Caenorhabditis elegans: one gene and its partner. The protein of the gene in region 2 purifies or fractionates together with the protein of the main gene of each other region. This does not show direct contact. Each region holds a gene or a part of one and is shown on either strand. Other genes may lie near its edges. The genes, in order: spt-5 and cit-1.1.

Region 1 (10,418 bases), on a different chromosome or scaffold from region 2:
ATTTCAGTTTCAAAAAAAACCAAAAAAAAACTGAGAAATTGATTAAAACTTCGCCGCGACAAAAGTTTCAAATTTCGCGTCTTTGTAACATTTTGCACTTTCCTACTAGAAATTATGACAATATGTGGGTACGATAGCTGCGAAGTTTTCTTCGCGTCGAGTCCTGCTATCGTATTTTTGAGTCAAAATAGTAGTTAAAAGTTTTCTTCCGTTTAAATATTTTTCGATTCAAAGTTTCTTGAAAAACTTGGCATTAAATTTTAATAACTCACCAATCATTCCAGTAACCAAAGCCGTGGCGACAGGTCCTGAAACGATGCCTCCGTCTCTTTTCCTACGCGTTTTCTCAACAGCTGACCTGATAACTGATCTGCTTTTCGTTTTCGTCACATTTTGAACCTCGATCTGCTACAAACGAAAAAAAACAAGTTTTTGTTTTAAATAATTCATCACTCAATTGTTTCACTAAATTCTTCTAATTCTTCGGTCGAACGGCCGATTCCTAAATTGAATTGGTCAACCAATTTCGATTGGTATGTTGTAAAAAATAATTTGTTCGTTTTTTGTTCATACGTCATACCCGTTTTACAGTAAAGTGTGAAACATTGTCTCTTTTTTATGATGAACATACCGGGTGTTCATGATAGTGGTGTGAGAATTTTTCGGCGGCAATCACAGAGAGACGATCACGAATTTCTTTCTCATCGACCCAATTTGTTTCCTCAATTGATGCTTCCGAGGATTTTTCAACTGAATATAAAGATTACGTTGGCATAAATAATAAAGTCTAGATCTTGATATCTAAAATAAAACTTAGACCTACCGTAATCTGATACATATGAGTTGGCAAATGCGATGAGAAGAATAGATGTTAGAATTCGCAATAGAGTGTACATGTCTGAAAGTAAGTGACAAGTGATGATGAATTTGACGATGAGGTAAGTGAAAATGAGAAGAATTGAATGAGAGAGATCTCTAGAGATACTTGACAACGGCCTGTGATCGTCTCGTTCGACACAAAACGAAGAGGCGGAGGCATAGGGGACAGCTGTGATTGGGACGGGAGATGAGTCATTGTTTGAGTGAGGGGAGCGGGACGGGTTCATGACACCGGTTTAGGAAAAATTCAACAGTTATGTAGATGAGGTGTGCCATAGATGGTCGGATTATTTCTCGATCAATCCATAACATGACGGCAATCGAACCTTTGTAATGCGTTTCTTATTACAGAAATGCAAAATTTTGCGATTCATGTCACAAGAATACGGTATCTTATCTCGACACGATTGCAATTTTTAAAATGAATTCTGTGGAAAAGGGTGTGCGCCTTTAAGAATTACTGTAGTTTCTACACTCGCAGTTTACTTCGATGTTTTGCATATTTATTTTCTAGATTTAGGTTTTTCTTTAAATTTAAAGCACTCTTTACGTAAATTTACAAAAATCAGGCAGATTATAAAAGAAACAACGAAACAGTCAGAATCAGCGAGCAGTGCATACTACAGTACCCGTTGAAGGCGCACACGTTTTTTGCAAAAATTTTCCAATCATGCCGAGACCGGCATTCACTTATTGTGGCATTTCGAAATTAAAAACCTTAAAAATAATTTTCAAAAATCTTCTTGTAATAAGATTTGAAAGAAGTTAAAAAGTAGTTCAGTTCATATGTTCTAAACGAATGATCTACATATCATTATTTTCCCCCTTTCGCAATAAAATTCAGTTGTTTACTTGATTTCTTCTCCTCGAAAACAAACTGAATTATAACGGCAAAAATTTCTGCCAAAATCGATCTCTCGACCTCACAGAAAAGGAACAAATTCGCGGGGAATTTGTGTGTCAAAACCCCGAAAACAATGCTAAGCATTTGTTTCCGGCTCCAAAAGTGCAAATTTCCAAACAAAAAAAACTGTGTTTTTCTCTGTGCCCTCCAGTATTTTATTGCCTTTTTTGTGTTTGTTCTGATACATGGCAAGTTTTTTTTTTCAGCGTATTGTCCGAAATGGAACAGTTGGGCTCGGAGCCGGAGACCTATCAGATAATGAAAACAATAGAGAAATCGATCATCGAGAATGACAATGTCGATTTGGAACAATATCTGCTCTTTTGGGAGCATGTTTGCAAGTGAGTCACACAGATGTTCTAGAATTTTAACTCTGAATCATTCTATTTCAGCGTCATGTGCTCTTGGGGAACAATTTTCAGCTTTGTCGTGAAGGATGTCACTGCAAAATTGGAAAAGCTCACGCAAATGAGATCGTCGGATCCAGATTCTTACAGGTGAATATTTAATTTGTCGAAATATTTTTTCAATTCCTGATTTTCAGAACTATCATCGGAATGGCAACGAAGGAGTCGGAGAATGGAACTATTCGAAATCAGAAACCAAATAGAAGCGGCACTGGACATTTGATGGTTCTTAACAGGTATTCGTGGATTCGTAGAAGAGAAAATCAATGAGTTCATCATTTCAGAGCTCTTGAATTCGTCATCGATTTGCTGGATGGAGTGTTCACGTCGAATGATGAAAATGTATCGACAATCGCTCGTTCTTCTTATGACAAACATCTTTCTCAACTTCATTCTTGGCCAATCAGAACTGCTGTCGCTGCGGCTCTCTACACTTTGCCTCGAAAACCAGAATTTCTATGTAGACTTCGTGGTGATATGCCAGAGGACGATGATAATCAATTCCATGATATTTTCAATCGAGACGGACGAGATATTGTGCGAAGAGTGAACAAACTAGTTGAAAATTTCGAACTAACTGATTATAATCCTTCAGCCTGAATCTCTTTACTACCCTCTTCATTCTTGATCTCACAAAAAATATGTTCTCTGAAATTAAACTTTTCATTATATCTCTTGGTTGTACAACAAGTGTATTTGTTTTTGAAAAAGAAAAGCAGCAATCATTTTAAGAAATGTTTAATTCAAATAAAACAGTGTATAATAAATAAATAAATGAACGATTTTCAAAGGGTGACACCAAAAAATAGACACAACGAAGTGAAACTCGTCGAGTGTCGAATAACATTTGAACAGAAAAAAGCGAAGAAAAATTGGAGAATAAATAGTAAAGTGAACAACTTTTCAAGTTTCGCTATGCATTTTGCAGCACAATCCAATGTTGATGACTCGCATGTCTGACATGTCTTCCTGTGATCGGATAACTGCTTCGAATCCATCCATGGAAACAAGTTGTCCACTGTGACCTGCATCTTGTCCGAAAATCACTCGAGCCTTAAAGTTAACATTTCATTTAGCATTTTCAATTTAATATTTTCTTACATCATCTCCTGGTTGCGGTTTCATTGGAGTTAGCTGATCGAAATCAACTTCCAAGTTGCACTTGTGATCTGGCATGTAGACATCCACTTTTCCATCGGTAACATCTTTAATGATCGCCTCACGTCCGTTGAATCGCCCTTCGTGGTCCTTGATTTGCACACACAGATTCTGCACAATCCACACACCTTGAGCCAGGAAGTGGTCCGCTAAAAATAAGAAATTAGCTTCACTATAATTCAAATAAAATCTTGAGCAACTTACGAATTTGCTCAATAGCTCCATCGGCATTGTTGTAGTTGTTACTGTCGTAGCCAGCGAATGGAGAAGGCGCAACATATTGATCGTATGCTCCTCCACTTCCTGGCGTCATTGGAGCAGCGAATCCAGGTGTATCAACGTGATAGGCTCCCGGAGTTGCTGGATTGAGCATTGCACCTGGAGTTGGCACAACGTACGAGTGTGGAGGAGAATCATAAGTTGGAGACGAAGTGTCTCCGATGTCTTCCTCAACTTTTGTAGCTGCATCTGGTTCGTATGTCGGGCTGCTGTTCTCATATGTGTCGTATCCTGGAGTACGGGACACGAATGCTGGAGTTCTTGCTGGAGCATTGTCATACGCTTCAGGTGCATCGGGCTCGTATGCCGGACTCAACGCTAAACAATTAAAAATTAAAAATTGCAAAGATATGTAATGGTTCAACTCACGAATATCATAATCATTATTGTATGCTGGAGTTCTGGCGGAATGTTCGGATTCTGGATAGGCTGGAGTCTTACTGCTTGAATCATAGTTCGGAGTTCTCGATGGCATACTTTCATAGCCAGGCGTTCTTCCAGAATCATCATATGCAGGAGTTCTACTGTTGTCCATTGATCCGTATGCTGGAGTCCGTCCACCTTCCGTACTTCCATAGGCAGGAGTTCGTGCACCATCAGCACTACCGTAAGCAGGAGTTCTTGAACTGTCATTTCCATAGGCTGGAGTACGTGATGATGAATGTTCATCAAGATCTCCATATGCTGGAGTTTTGCTTCCATATGCAGGGGTACGTCCACCTTCTCCATACGCCGGTGTTCTTCCTCCATCATAAGCTGGAGTCATCGAGCCATACATCGGTGTTTGTGCTCCATACATCGGAGTCTTCGATCCATACATTGGAGTTTTGCCAGAGTCGCGCATCGGTGTCTTCGAAGAACTGTAGAACGAGCTTCCACCTCCACTTCCAGCTGTTATTCCAGTGTCTCCGACAACCATCACACGAGCACGATCGACAGAAATCGTTCTGCATTGTGTATGCAATTCGACACGAACTGTGTCTTCTGTGGCATCTCGAACAATTCCAAAGTGGCCCTTCATCGGACCTTTGATGATTCGAACATTTTTTCCAATGAGGGTAAGATCACGACGAACTTTTTGTTGATTTGCAGTTCCAAAATGACCACCACGTCCTCCTCCTCCACCTTGTCTCGGAGTTTGTCCACCACTGCTTCCACGACTTGACATACCATCTTGTGGAGAACGAGGAGTCATTCCTCCAGAAGAATGTCTTGGTGATGCCATAGGATTCGGTGAAGCCATTCGAGAAACCATCGGTGTACTGGTTGTTTTCTTAGCTCCTTGTAAAATCAGTTGTTTTGGTTTGCAAACCAAGACTCCTCCATTTTTAGTCACTTTGCGAGAATAAACGAAGACAGTTCCACGGAACGCATAGAGAACTTCTCCAACTGGATCCTCATCGGTTTCCCGCTCCTTTGCGTTTGGTCCTCCAATTACTTTTACCAGATCTTTAGCCTCGATGGAATTGTTTTGACTGTCGAGAACTTTCGCAAATCGAACGTCTTTTTTCGCTATAATAGCTTGTGGCTTTATACGATTCACAACTCCGTGCATGTTGAGAACTTCCAAATGTTCCTTCTCCAATCGAACAATTACTCCAACATTTCCTGTATGGTCGAGCTGTACAAGATCATGATATTGGAACTGTCCCAGTGAGTCCACTCCAGTTGTCACATCAGCACAAAGTTGCAAATCTCGTACACGAACTTTCAATTCTTCCATTCCAAGATCAGACAAAACTATGGCTGTGCTATCTTTTACTCGGACAATTAATCCAGTATGTCCTTCGTATCGTCCACTAATAACCTTTGCATGATCTCCTTCCTTGAAGTATTTCCTGAGCTCATGAGCGTTCAAAGTGATTGCTTCTTTCAAATCTTCTTGATCTGGCATCATCACAACCTTCGTCCCATCGACCGTCATCACTTTACCCCGAAGATTCACCAACTCTCCAGCTTTCACTTCGACGATATCTCCAGGAACAAATGGATTTTCTGTGTCTTTGAGAGAAGCCGTTTCCACTGAAAAAAAGTATTTTTAAAAAAGAATAAAGGAATAAAAACTTACATTCTCTCTTGAGATCATCGCTAGATTCTTGGAACTTTTCGAGTTCTCCAAGAGTTGGTTTAACACCATCAGCTTGAATTGCGTTTATGGGGAAGTACTTGTAGAGGAATCCTCGCCGGAAATGATTTCCTTCAAATACTAAGAAGTCTCCGTCCGTCACAATTTCTCCTCCAACTTCTTTGATGGTATCCTGATCAAATAACTTGGGCATTGGGCGTCTTTTCAGCTTATAGTTTTTATCAGCATCAGTTCTCATTGCTCCGCGCCGCTTCTGATAATCGACACGGGGAATCAATTTCAGGTTGACACGGTTCTGAGCGATATCCACAAGATCAACGACAGCCAGATCATCTTTGTACATTGTTCTTTTCAAACGAACATATGATCCGAGTTTCAACTGTGGAATGTCTTTGACAACTCTCAATACATCTACCATATCTTTGATGGGAACCATGGTTATAGTGAATTGATTGAGAGCTGAAAATCCTTCAATTGCAGACATGACGTGAGATTGTTTGAACGCCTCGATATAGATCATTCCTTTGAGTCCTTCCTTGACGACAACTGATTTGATTTGGAATGGCTATAAATTGATTAAATGCAATCATTATTACGGGACATTTATCAATTACCTCGTTTGTGTGCTCAACCGCAAGACATTTACGCATCAGATGCATCGCTACGAGTTTTTCCTCTCCCATGCGACATTTGACAATCCACAGGTTAGGATCCTTCGTGGATGGAAGATGAGAATTTTTTGAAATATCATCCATAGCTGAATCTTCGTCATCATATTGACTGTCGTTTTTGTCACCCTTGTACTTGTTCTCAAAGTATTTCTGGACTTCGTCTTCCGTCATGTTTTGGAACTTGTACCGATCTCTATTCCGTTGACTCAATTCCATTTCTTTCATCGCACGCTCAGCTTCCTCTCGCTCGTTCATTGCATTCATGCTTGGATCGTCTTCGTCATCGTAATCATTGTCGTCGTCTTCGTCTTCGTCGTCGACTTCAACATCCCAAGCAAGAAAATCTCGTCCAGAAGGAGCCTTATTCTTCCGTTTCTGCTTTTTAGATTTCTTGCTGGTCACGTTTTCATCTTCATCGTCATCGTCGTCATCATCATCGTCCGAGCCACTTTTCTGAAAAACCGACAGGATTGTAACTTTAAAATTAATTGTTTTCACTCACCTCACTCTCTGAAGCAAGTTTCCGCTTTCTGTCCTTCTTTGAATTTTTGATTTCAACATCTGAGCCATCATCATCGCTCAAAGTCTGTAAGAGGATAAAAATCGATAAATAAGTAAAGTCGCATAATTTGTGAATTTTCCATGAAAGCTTATTTGTTATTTTCGGCGAAATCGATCGAATCTCAAATCATAGAGTGAAAAATCGATAACTAACCGTGTCTTCTTCTTTGTTTGAGGCTGCATCACTTTCGTCAGAGGACATTGCTAACTGAAACATTTAAGTAAATTTCAAATAACTTGGGGCAGAGAAATGAGGAGGAACGCGTGTGATTTAGGACAACGCTTAAAAATTCAGAAAATTAGGCAAGAAGTAAATCAATCAATTGAAAAAATGATTAACTTTATAGGTATAAATGATTAGAAGAAATTAAGCGCAAAAAAGAAGAAGAAAATGAAGAAGAAATAAATTGTCGTCGGTTCCGATGCCCGGTACGCAATCTGGTGTTCACGTCCAAAACCCACAACTTGCCGCGCATTAAATATATATTTATTTAACATTTTAATGTTTTTATGCGTGCGGATTTTGAAAAGGTAGGAAATTCTCTGTGGATACGCTTGAAAAATCTCAAAGCTTTAAGAAGTATTGCTTTGCTCTTCAATTTCGCATAAATATTTAATTTCATTTCAGAAAATATCATGAACTTTCTTCGTTTCAAAAGCTTTTAATTTTCACGATTACGATTTTTCTTCTATGGGTACTTGGAGTTGTGGATAAGTTTAGAGAGGTACTTTATACGCCAGAAAAAATTATTTAAACATAATGATTATATTTTTCAGACGAGTTTTGGTGACTTCAGTTGGCCACTGGAAACGCGTAATTTACAATTGCGAAGCAAGTTTACAAAATATCCACAGTGCAAATTTTCTGGCAATGGACAAAAGATTATTATTATTATAATCAAGTCAAGTGCGAAAAATGGACCGGTTAGTATTTGCAGAAAATCAAATTTCTATTTAAAAAAAACAATATTCAGATGCGAGAGTCAGTAAGAAAGACGTGGGGAGTGTTTCGAATGATTGATGGAGTCGAAGTTATGCCAATCTTCATTGTGGGAAGAGTGGAAAATATGGAGATAATGAGAAGAATTGATGTAGAATCGGAGAAGTATAAGGATATTCTTGCAATATCAGACATAGATTCATATCGGAACAATACCTTAAAAGTTTGTTTTCTTGAACACTTTTCTCAATAAAAACCTAATTTCAGTTGTTTGGCGCCATTGACTACGCTGCGAATCCAAATCAATGCTCTTCTCCAGACTTTACCTTTCTGGTAGATGACGATTATTTGGTACATATCCCAAATCTTGTAAAATTCGCAAAAACTAAACAAAAAGAGGAACTTGTTTACGAAGGCTTCGTATTTGACACGTCACCATTCAGGCTTAAGATCCACAAACACAGCGTAAGTGCTTCAAGTAAAAAAAAAACCTATTTCCAAATTATTACAAGTTACAGATTTCGCTGAATGAGTATCCATTTTCACGATATCCTCCATACGTCTCCGCTGGCGCTGTCTTCCTCACTTCCGAAACCATTGCGCGATTCAGAAATTCAATTAGAAAACTGAAAATGTTTCCATTCGATGATGTCTTTACGGGTATTCTCGCCAAAACAGTGAATGTCGCAGCAACTCATAATGAGAACTTCATCTTCTGGTGTCGACGAGTGTCTCAAAAAGAATGGGATGATGGTGTAATTGCAGTTCATGGATATGCCAGGAAAGATCTTGAATACGAGTATAGCCAGTTAAACGGGTTCGAATAAATTGTATTTTGAATTTTTTTCATATAATTTTCAACATATCAATAGAGATCGTAAGAAATAAAAATTAAATATTCAAAGTTTAGCTCGAGCAATATAATAGTTAACATCACTTCCCAGAAGCATTCTTCCTTTTCCATCGTCAATCGCAATTGAGACGGCTTCAACTCGTCCTGTTTGATCATGATACGACTCGATGATTTGACCAGTTTCCGTGTTGACTTTGATAACAAGACCTTCTACATCAGCGACATAATTAGCAACATATCCAAGAGCTTGTGGAGATAGAATTTTAGTGATAAATTCTCGAACTGATGGATTTTGTTCAAGGAATCGGTCTTCTTCGGAACGATGTGATGCGATTGGAATGAGAAGGTGCCCGGATTTTGTAAGACGAATGTTATCCGGATATCCAGGAAGATTTTCAATAAGCGGTGAAGTTTTAACAGGTGCTGTTGAATAATGATCTCTTGGAACCCAAATCTGCATAACTCGAGCTAATCCCATTTCACTGTAGAGCACCCGCCATGGAGCATTCTTTCCCATTCCTTTTTCAATGCTTAATTGAACTCCATTCGGGAAATATAGCCCATCTTTCAGTACTCTCAAATCTTTCTTTCTTGGATCATAAATCAAGAGACGACCATTTGGACGATGTTCGAAGAGATCCAGAATGAAATCACGATCGTCGAATTTCGTTGATGATTCGGTGAAAATAACTCTTCCATCGGGAAGAATATCCAAATCATTCAAATATTTGATTGGAGCAGCATTTTCGTTGTTTGCAGGCAATTCTCCAGCTCCGAGGATTTTCACAACTTTCTCCTCTTGCCAATTTATAGCGAACAATCCCAAATACGCATCAGCAATGACCAGCTCGCCGACGTCGCTCAATCTGAAAATATTTGTATTAACAAAATTTATTTTTAAAAAGCAAATCATGAAACCCCGACATTAATATCTCTTCACTTTCAAAATATTTGATTTGTTGTACTCATGACGAATCGAATTTGCATATCTTATCTTATCACAATGATAATAAAGAAAGATTCTTCCCCCCCGCCCCCCCCCCCCCCACCCCATCTACATCTAACCTCAATCCGAGCGGACGCCCACACAAATTCATTTTTTTGTAGGAACCATCACAATCATGATTTCCCTGAGCAAGTTGAACAGCATGAACAATCTTTTCTCTTCCTTCTTTCATATCGATTTCCGCAATTATTCCAGTCTTGAATCCAGCATACAGTTTACTATTTTTCTCGTCAAGAACAAGTGACTCCGGGCCGTATACTTGATCTACAAGGAGAAGTTCTGCATCGGTTAGTCGCTTATTGACAGCAAGAACTCCTTCCAACGGAATCTTGTCGCCGAGACTGAAAAAAAATTGAATAAATAAATGTTAAGAATTCTAATAAAACATACTCAAACTCGACTGCTTTGATGGGTGCATTGATGATCCGATTCGTCAGAAGGCCTGCGATAATCAAAGATCCCAGAAGTCCGAGCACGATTTTCACCGGTGTGCTTCCCAGAATCCGGAGAATTAATCCAGGTTTCTGTGACTTCGGAACCTTTTTATGTTTCTTCTCTGGCAGTGGTACCACTCTTCCACCGTCATCATCTTCTCCACGTCTTCTTCTGACGCTTCCGTCTGATTTCTTCATCTGTTTCTGAAGCTGAATAATAAAATTTTTGTAGGAAACGAT
Region 2 (9,620 bases):
TATCTTCTATGCGTCTAAATTTACAAAACTCGTCCAACCTAGTAATAGGTTTTTTTCCAAAATTTTGAATCTCCATAACTTTTTTGAAAAATTTTCAAAACGTCGAAAAAGTCTTCAATTTCTGCTACTCCTCCTTTTAAAAAATTGGAAAACTTTCCGATTTTTTCTGTAGATGCTTTAAAATATATCAACTCTTGGAGCCTACTTGAATATTGAAACTACTGTAATCGTATCAAAATGTACTACATTTGCAAAATGCATTTGATCAATTTAATTTTTTTCGTTCAATTTTCTCCAAAAAAATGGAATAGTAAAAACGTCATAGAGTACATATACAAACATTCCATTCATTCTATACAAAACCAATTGAGGGCCGAGAAATTGAAAAAGCATACAAAAAAGATGCAGGCACTCCTTGATTTCACCATTTACATATCACCTTCGACAATATTCATATTTTCTGAAACTTTTTTATTGGAAAGAGGATAATGATTTATTCAATTGTTTTTGGTATTCTTATTATGATGGAGTCAACCGTTTTAGGATGTCCACCACAGCCAAATGGAAATTGTTATTACGGTAATTGATTAGGTTATTACTGAAATAGCATGAATTAAGCTAATTTTAGGTCAGTACATGCTTTCAAATAGTCAAGGAGGTTTTCAGAATCAGCAGTGCGGGTCGGCGATCAATAGGGATTGGTGTGCAGTATCGTATGTTTTTTTTTGTTAGAAAAAATTGAAAAATGTATAATTGTGTTGTGTTAAGAAAAACTAATTTTTGGTCATTTTTTGGTCGGGTGTACCTGTCTGCTTACCGAATATTGTAGATCTAAGTCAGAAAATTCAAATATATACTTTTAAAAACATGTTTTATTGAATACCACTTTTCCCATAAACTTTGAGCTCTTCACCCTTTTGAAGACTAATTTTGGATACCCCCTCTCACTTGTATGAACTGGTATTCATTATTTGCACACAAACATACAACTCCAGAATGAGGTACTTGATGTCGTTGACTCTACAATTCACTTTCAATTATTCTCATCATTCATTTCAATATGTTTACTCCTTCTTCATACTACAATCAACCATCATTTAATTCGTTTTCTTCAGCCTATCCGAGGTGATTTGGATCATCTTTTTTGATGATAAAACCCAACATTGGGTCAAAAGAGAATTTAATATTTTAGTGAAAACTGAACCAAACTTATATATTCAATAAATATAAAACATTTGGTAGATCACTTTAAAATCCAAATTTATTTTTCTACAGCTACCAACCAGCAACTCAGCAAGCAAACTTTGGGTGTGCATCCAATTTTCCCATAAATGTGAGCACTAAGCTTTTAGTCGGAAAAGTGAGCTACCGTAAAACTATTTTAGGTCGGTGGATCAGTTTGTGGTGAAGGTGCTGGATTTGTGAATCAACAAGGTTGTAGTATGGTCAATACACCAAATGGACCATGTTACTTTTGTTGTTGTAAAGGGGGAAGTTGTAATAATCCTCAGGTACGTTATTTTTTCAGTATGAGAATGGTTATGTATGTAGTGTCTTAAATGGAATTCGAAAAATGTACTGTTAAAAACTACTGAAAATAAGAATTTGATTTTCACTTGCTATAACCCCAAGTTTGAATTTTTCAATTTCCTTATTTTAATTACAGATATTTGCTCGAGAAGCTTCGAAACTTCCAATAAATCAGCAACAAATGCAAACATACAATCCAAATGGATATAATCCATATTCAAGACAAAATTATTATCCAATTCCTTGGTATAATACAGCTTCTCAACCTTCCAATCCATTTTTCCTTATTGTCATTATTCTTATTATATTTTTAATTCTCTCGTATTCTGCTTAAAATCATCGTTTTTTTTTTCTAAAGATCTCTTTTTTTTATTTTATCCCCAAATCTTGATGAGATTCTCCCATTTATTGGTAATTAATTTTCAATTCAATTGTTTTAAAAACCATTCATTATGTACTAAATTTCGATAATGCTACAGTACAGAATGAAGATGAACAGAAAAATTGCAGTTTCAATTGATATAACTCGGAAACAAAACAAATGCCATGCAAATGAGAAAAAAATTTCACAGACAAGTCTCACAGTGAGAGGAGGAAAGAATCAACAAGGGATGATGATGATGATGAAAAATTGAATTTCTCAAGTGAGAAAAACTATTGAAACCGGTGGGTTTTTGTAACTTTCGAGGAATTTTGTGCTTAACGATGGGCGTAAAAAGAATACATTGAAATGCTAGGGAATCGGGGTTTCATAAGCTAAATCTTTTCAAAAACATATTTTAGAAAGTAAACAACAAAAGGAAATAAAAATGAACAGATCAAATAAATTAGCAAAGAAAGAAACGGTAAATGGGGGCAAGGCAGAGATTTTGTGGATTGATATTCAAATATTGAGCCAAAAATAGATAAAAATAAACATCTGTAGCTAGATTTTTGGATAAGAAAGGAGATACAACTAATAAAAATACGAACTAAAAATAATTATTCTAGTTCACCATCTTCCAAATCCATATCTGAATTATCAGCACTTTGGAGCTTTGGAGCAGTTGGTGGTGTAAGCATTGGAGCCACGTCGAATGTTCGAGCACTAAAATTAATTTTAGGTATTTCTAAAGAAATGTATACATTTTTATTTCAAAATAAAATGTTACATTCTCCACCAGCTCATTCGAATCTAAAAAATTTGTGGCAAAGAATCAATATTTTCTGAAGGTTAATAAAACTCAGTTAGGTTTTTAAAAATTTTAAGTATGATTGTTGCCTGATGAATAAATATAAATAAATAAAGTATGGTATGATAATTAAAATAATTTTTTAATTCGAAACAAATGGATCTCGAACAAAATTTTAAATTTGAAATTACGAAAAGTTAGACTTTTGAAAAATAAATCTTCTAACTTAAGCATTTTCTAGCTTTCCCAGGAAATGCCAAGAATCTAGAAAACAGTGATTTTTTAAAGCTGTCTAGGATACAACGTATTTTTTAAACCTATTATTGTATCCGTTTTTTAAAAAATAATATTGCTCTAATGAAATGTGTACCTGGGCACAAACGCTGGCGAAACCGAAGAATTTGTATGATTATTCTCATGATTCTTTCGATTAATCTGATTTTTGTGATTATATCCAGATGACACGATTGGTGGTGGCGGAAAATTAAGCTGTGGAGGTATTGGAGGTGGGGCCAATTTTCCATTTGATGACGATGATGAAGATACGAAATTGTTGGCAAGTGGATCTATTCGAGCACGCTTTTCACTACTGAAAATTCAATTAACAGTTATTTTTAAATGTAATTATTCACAATCTGAACTTTTTTTTTTGTAAATTGTTGATATTATACTAATAAGTATAATATACTTTGAAAAACATTTTTAATTAATAATATTCTGTGATACTTTATTTGTTCTAAAACATTTTCAAACAGTTTTCATTAATTTTCGATTTTTTAAAAAACAATTGACATAAAAATATGGTAACGTAAAATTTTAAATTTTAAAAGGTGAAACGAGATTCTAAACTTCAAAATGACCAATGAAAAAGTCTTGCATGCAATACTAGTTTTAGTAAAATATACTGTATGGTTTTCATTGGAGAATTTTTAAGACCCGTTTTAATATGAAAGCCGAACCTCGTTGAACTGTCAAGTTTTCCAGCCATTCGATCTCGTTCTCGTTTCCGACGTTCTTCTTCCACACCTCGTTCTTTGTTTAATCTGGAAAAATTAAACAAAATTGTTTTATTTTTAATATTCTTAGCTGGCTGTACTTATTTCAAAACAAATCTAACCTTTCAACTGTCAATTCATCTCTCGGAACGTATGCTCTCGGTCGTACATTTACTGTAGAATCAGGTACATGATGAACCATTGGACTATGACTTCTGGCATCTCTCGTACGATCCTGAATACGTTTTTTTGCATTTTCCTCGATATTTCTTAAAACAACTTACTAATTTCCGTACGTCTGGATTCTCCAGCATAGGACGATGTTCACGGAAGTCTGAAACTTTAATTGGAATGCATCAAGACTTAAAATTAATTTTTTTAAAAGTAACTTACTGAATTTGGAAGCATGGTGAAATTGACAGGAATTCCGATATGTTACAAGGAAATCTACTTCCATTTCTGAAAAAAAAACCATTTTTCATAAATATTTTAATAACATGTTGTCTTGCTTAAATAGGGATTTCGCTTTAAAAAAAACCAAAAATCGAACTTTTAAAACTGCTCCTGAGTACGCTCTAAATGATTTTTTTTTTAAATTTAAGCCTATTCTGGCAATTTCAAGCAAAATTCACGATACTCCACCGTAAATTCTATTTTTTTTAACGAAACTTTATACTTAAAAAAAAACTTTAAAATGTATTTTATTTCAAAAACATTCAGGATTTATTTTTACAGCTCAAAAACCTTCTCACTAAAAAATTGATTAAATTTCGAGCATCCATAAATCAAAATTTGATGCACTTTAAATGTCGTTTTTTTTTGTTAAATTCGAATTTTACGAACCTCTCAGCTTCTCGTTCGTCATTGTTTCGTCAAATTTCGCATACCACGGTGAATCTTCATTGATGAAATCGGCAAATAATCGCTCTATCTGAAATTTAGATTAATTGTTAATGATTATTTTACTTTTCAAAAATTTTTGGAAATCTTTCTCTAAGCAATTTTACTACCATTTTTTTCTAAATCTCACCCGGACATTGGCATAGGCTGCCATTAAATGAATAATTACAATAGACATTGACGCTGCAGAATATCGAAGTGACCAGTCTGTTACAGCTATTCTGAAATTTAAAAATTATTACATTTGAATTTATGATTTTGAAAACATACACGTCTGTGGCAAAATAGTAGGCGCAAGATGTCAAAGGTCGATAATGCTCTTCTGAAAATAATGTTCAGTTATTTGTTTTCTTTTCAAAATTAACAATTTACTTTTATCAACTTTTTTCATGATATCCAGAACATAAATATGAGGAAGATGAACGTTGAGATCGAATGCTGAAATTTTTATATTTAAAAGTAATCTGATAAAGTTCTTACCGATTGTCTGTAGAATCATGCTCTCCAGAAGAACAATAATTTGGGCTGCTTCATTCCTAGCCTGAAAAATCACGAAATCGGGTTTCTAAAGTTTGACCCGTGAAATTTGTATTGCAATTGTGCTTTCTAGTGTTTTTAGAAATACAAATAGGGGAAAAAATCTTTAAAAACCTTAATTTCTATACTCACAGTTTCCGTCGTCAATTGTTTTCTATCCTTTCGCTCCCGCCATACACTGATCACATGTGATAATTTTCTTGGACACTCCTGACTTTTACCCGCTAAAAATACACAAGCAGCACCTACGTCCTGAAATGGATTTTTAAAAATTTTTTCAATTTACGGATAAAGGTCTTACTCTATAATCATACTTTTTGAAGCTATGCAAATAATAAAAGCGATGCATATGTGTATGTGCAACGCAAAGACCCGTGTGACCGCTGAAAAAGCATTTTCAAGAACATTTTTTGATAAAGTTTTCGTTGTAAAAGTTACATTTTCATTTTTGGATCTTTAACATTGTTCAATCCATCTATCATTTCTTGGATGAACGCGGCGGCCATTTGTCGGGAGGCTAGTTCTTCTTCTCTGCTCATTCCTTCTTGAATGCTCGCTGTCTTTTTCATCTTAAAAATTCAAAATATTAATTATTGAGTTTTAATTCTAATTTTCGCACCTCCTCTTTGGTGAAGAGCCATTTGGTTGGCGCGGTCCGATGTGCTGGGGAAGCCGCGCCTCGACTCGACACCGACATCGCATTTGAGTTTAATTCTCTAAAAATCTGAATAAATTTCCAGAGTTCCCCAAAAAATTACACATTATTTGATTTTTCACTGTCATAAAATAAAAAATTCCGGTGAAAAGCTTCACAAAAATCCAGTTTTAATGTGAAACCTGGACGACACAAGCGCGCTCAAGCGGACGCGCTGCGTGTCGCGTCGCGGCAGGCAAAGCTTTTTTTCTGAGTCACCTACCCATTTTCAGCCGATTTTCAGTTAAATTTTATCGATTTTCTGTATTTTTCAAGCGTAAGTGTTGCATTATCACGTGCTTTTCAGCTCACATGTATTTTTGACATTGAACATTGAGTGAAAATCCTTTTTTGCATCACTAACACCATTTTTCCTTGTTTTCTGAAAAACACTGTTCATTTTTCGATTTCGCCGAAAAACTCTAACGTTTTTGTGATTTTTTAAGTAATTTAACTTATTTTGAACCAGAAAATCATAGGTTTGCCAAGATTTGCAACGGGTCCCGGGAGAAAATTACGTTTTTCTAGAGTGCTATTGCTAATTTTTATATTCTCGGATTTTCAATTTCTCAATAGCACAATTTGGATGTTCGTGTTTTATATGCGCTAATCAGTGGATCGATCTGTATTCGTGCAAATTCAGCTAGGTATTATCGAATAAAACCGTTCCAGAATTATGAAATATTTCGAAATTTAAGTTTATTCTGCTCATGTGATAGTTGTTTTCTAGTTTCCTTTATGTCTTGACGATTGTTCGGTATCCTGACCGGATATTGCCAGGAGATAATTCTGTAAATGGCCACTACGAATTTTTGTCTTTCCTAGGTAATATCGATTTTTGGACGCTGTCCCGTCGCTTATTCCTCCTTCTCCTCCCTCAGCAATTCCATTTCATTCATCGATTATTTGTATCTATTTATTGTTTTTATCGTGTTTCGTCGTGAACATTTGATATTCTTTTTTATATATTTTTTTCAGCATTGATCAGTATGTCGAATTCGAACAAATTGATCGCAGAGAAGAATGGGTCCAGATATGGCAGAATGATTCATCCTTGGCTCCGAAAAAAGCAAGATGTATGTTTTCTTTTTATTTTTCCAATTTATTGGTAAAAAATTTCCCAATTATCCAGAAAAAGTAAATTTTTGGTGGTTTTTCGTAAAATAATTTTCCGGGTCCTTGTGCTCGTACATAAAAACTCTAACATATATTTTCATCGAATTGTATTTAGTACATGCTGACATTAGAATTTTAGGAGATTCCACCAATCGGGGAACATTTGAAAACGAGCAACACTAAAAAAAATTCACTGATGGTTGTTCAAAATTTTCCAGCATTATTGGGACCTAATCGATAATACCGTTCAGTGTTCAAATGTTTAATTTTTAGATGTTGGCGGACACTCCAAGTCGACGAGAAGGAATGACATACGAGGAGGAGCTGTCAAAACGACAACAAGGAGGAGTCTTCATCTTTGACATTGCCATGCAATTGACACATGGCAAAGGAGAGCAGTGAGTGCAGTGATAGGATAAAGATTTAGAATCGAGTGAATTTCAAGTGAGGCGAATTGTAAAATTTAGGATTTAGATGGGTTCATATAGTTTTACAATTCATAAAAACGCCATCTCTTGTGATCATTTCTTTCGCTTCCTAATCTTTTCGAGACAATGTCTTGATTCTCTCCTCATCGAGCACTGCGATATATTCCAGCGGTCTGAGTGGAGTGGCGGCAACTCTGTTTAACCGATTCTTCAACGTTCACTCGCTCAAACGGTGTGATTTCCGAGACGTGGCGGCAGCATGTGTCTTTTTGGCAGGAAAGAACGAAGATGCACCCAAGAAGCTGAAATATGTGGTTACACAACTGTGGCAGTTCAAATATCCACACAATAAGCAGTTTCAATCAGAGCAACACTTCTTAGATCAGTGTAATGTCGTCACGTTAATAGAGGATGTACTTCTCAAAACCATTTGTAAGTTCTTTATCAATATCCTTCCGAACTGACTTTTCTATTAAAAAATAGTATTTTTTCATTTTGTATTTTCAGCCTTCGATATCAATGTAGATCTACCTCATCAGTATGTTCTAAAATTAATGCGCGATGTCGAGAAAGGTAGAAATGTATACAAGGATATGGTGAAAACTGCATATTACATGGCCACTGATGTGTAAGTTTTCTTTAATTGACTTGAGCCAACTATTACAACTAATATAATTTTTCAGATTAATAATCACCGACTGGAGTGTGCGATACTCATGTGCTTCAATAGCAACTGCTTGCGTAAACATAGCTGCCTTCTTTCATAACATCAACATGGACGATATCGTTCCATTTGAGTTATCTGATAGGTGGTACCGACTAGAAGATCAGTCAATGACTCGTGAAGAAGTTGAGGCCATGACTAAGGAATTCCTAGATATCTTCAGCCGAAATCCACAATTCCACATTGGGTCTCTTAAAAAGATTGATCCACTCGGAAAGGTTAAAATTGTCGGAATGCCGCCACAAGTCTCATCTACAGTAACACCTTCTGGATCGTCGTCTAATCTCAAGAAAATCGATTTGGAGTCATATAAAGGCCGACCGAAGCCACTTTCCAATTCTTCTGATTCGCCTTCAACGCGACCGAGTTTCCTGCCAGATGTAAAGAATCAGAAGGTAGTCGAGCAAGAGTTGATGGAACAAAGGATGAAAGAAGCTGCTCAGCAGAAAATTCATCGTAACGGACACCGTCCCAGCAGCAGTTCTCATCCTCTTCACCACCATTCTACGTCTTCATCAGCTTCAAACAATAGCAATCATCAGAATAGGTCCTCATCCGGTCTATCGGCACACCAACATCAGAAGCCATACAACGAAGATTCTCGATCAGCGAAAAGGTCAATGATGTACGAAGAGACGAATAGGTACGCTTGATAATGTTTTCCCTCCATGAACATACCTCAACAGATCTGAAAAGTCTAAAATGTATAATACTAAACTTTTTCAGTTCGAAAAAACCAAGGATCGATTACAAGATGAGTTTCGTTGCTTCGTCATCAACAACCATAGCTACTATGCACAATGATCATTTTTCGCAAACGACGCACCAGCAAAACATTTCAACATATGCTCGAGGAGTAAACGAAATGATGTTAAATCAAGTCGCTCCGCCTCCTCTCATGTCGGTATCTGCCCAACCTTCCACATATCAAAAAATGTGTATGGAGTATCAACGGTAAGTTAAATTAAAAGCAACACTTATCAGTTTTAACAAGTTAATTGAAAGACGACTTGGAGTTAGCTTGGAAAATGATTAATATAATCTTTCCTCAGTTGCAGAAATCCGGCCGATTCTCGACATACGATGTCATCAACGCAACAAATATCACCTCCTGATGAGCCTTCCCCACCTGTATCACAGATACTACTGCCGCCACCTCCACCGCCGCCAATCTTGCCACCCCGGCTGGATGAGATGGAGGAAGGGGAGCTCGTTTAAGAGCTTCCCTCACTGTTATTTCCGTTTCTTCTACTTTGCTCTTTATTTGGGTTCAATTCCTGATGTACAGTAGGTTTTCTTTCCGCATTTTTATTCAATGTTTCTTTTTTCCTCTTCATTTTTTTTCCTTTTTCCTTCTCTTGTCCTTCCTCGTTCTCACCGGTTTCCACTCTTGTTGTCGACTTTTAGATACTATTCTCACCTTTTTTTCTTTCTTTTCATATTTCTATCTTATCAAATAATGATCTCGATCCTCTCGTTTCGTTTTTTATCAGTTTCACTGTCTTCCTTATTTTTCATTTGATT

Evidence for each region.
Region 1: the proteins of cit-1.1 (region 2) and spt-5 fractionate together in Caenorhabditis elegans (co-fractionation; one large-scale study listed by BioGRID). This does not show direct contact.

What each region holds. Positions count from the first base shown.
Region 1 is NC_003282.8:12,048,226-12,058,643, reverse strand, and holds spt-5 (Transcription elongation factor SPT5), read right to left. Parts: upstream 7,154-10,418; 5' UTR 7,148-7,153; coding exon 7,100-7,147; intron 6,971-7,099; coding exon 6,887-6,970; intron 6,838-6,886; coding exon 6,328-6,837; intron 6,279-6,327; coding exon 5,696-6,278; intron 5,650-5,695; coding exon 3,997-5,649; intron 3,946-3,996; coding exon 3,553-3,945; intron 3,498-3,552; coding exon 3,292-3,497; intron 3,244-3,291; coding exon 3,094-3,243; 3' UTR 2,898-3,093; downstream 1-2,897. Other genes in the region: K08E4.3 (uncharacterized protein), read right to left, coding at 273-408, 632-750, 824-896; K08E4.2 (Glycolipid transfer protein domain-containing protein), read left to right, coding at 2,003-2,124, 2,176-2,280, 2,328-2,426, 2,475-2,790; Beta-1,3-galactosyltransferase bre-5, read left to right, coding at 7,448-7,476, 7,574-7,670, 7,723-7,869, 7,920-8,108, 8,153-8,350, 8,404-8,712; T12G3.4 (Strictosidine synthase conserved region domain-containing protein), read right to left, coding at 8,785-9,604, 9,804-10,085, 10,135-10,376.
Region 2 is NC_003281.10:8,003,972-8,013,591, forward strand, and holds cit-1.1 (Cyclin-T1.1), read right to left. Parts: upstream 5,851-9,620; 5' UTR 5,832-5,850; coding exon 5,754-5,831; intron 5,704-5,753; coding exon 5,573-5,703; intron 5,518-5,572; coding exon 5,436-5,517; intron 5,387-5,435; coding exon 5,267-5,386; intron 5,139-5,266; coding exon 5,078-5,138; intron 5,036-5,077; coding exon 4,970-5,035; intron 4,920-4,969; coding exon 4,868-4,919; intron 4,819-4,867; coding exon 4,728-4,818; intron 4,629-4,727; coding exon 4,541-4,628; intron 4,157-4,540; coding exon 4,091-4,156; intron 4,032-4,090; coding exon 3,982-4,031; intron 3,933-3,981; coding exon 3,820-3,932; intron 3,746-3,819; coding exon 3,662-3,745; intron 3,292-3,661; coding exon 3,073-3,291; intron 2,618-3,072; coding exon 2,512-2,617; 3' UTR 1,962-2,511; downstream 1-1,961. Other genes in the region: C06G4.6 (uncharacterized protein), read left to right, coding at 489-579, 629-713, 1,276-1,333, 1,386-1,511, 1,667-1,864; cit-1.2 (Cyclin-T1.2), read left to right, coding at 6,818-6,904, 7,218-7,342, 7,542-7,804, 7,880-8,000, 8,056-8,739, 8,823-9,050, 9,155-9,314. UniProt on the Caenorhabditis elegans protein: Regulatory subunit of the cyclin-dependent kinase pair (CDK9/cyclin T) complex, also called positive transcription elongation factor B (P-TEFb), which is proposed to facilitate the transition from abortive to production elongation by phosphorylating the CTD (carboxy-terminal domain) of the large subunit of RNA polymerase II (RNAP II).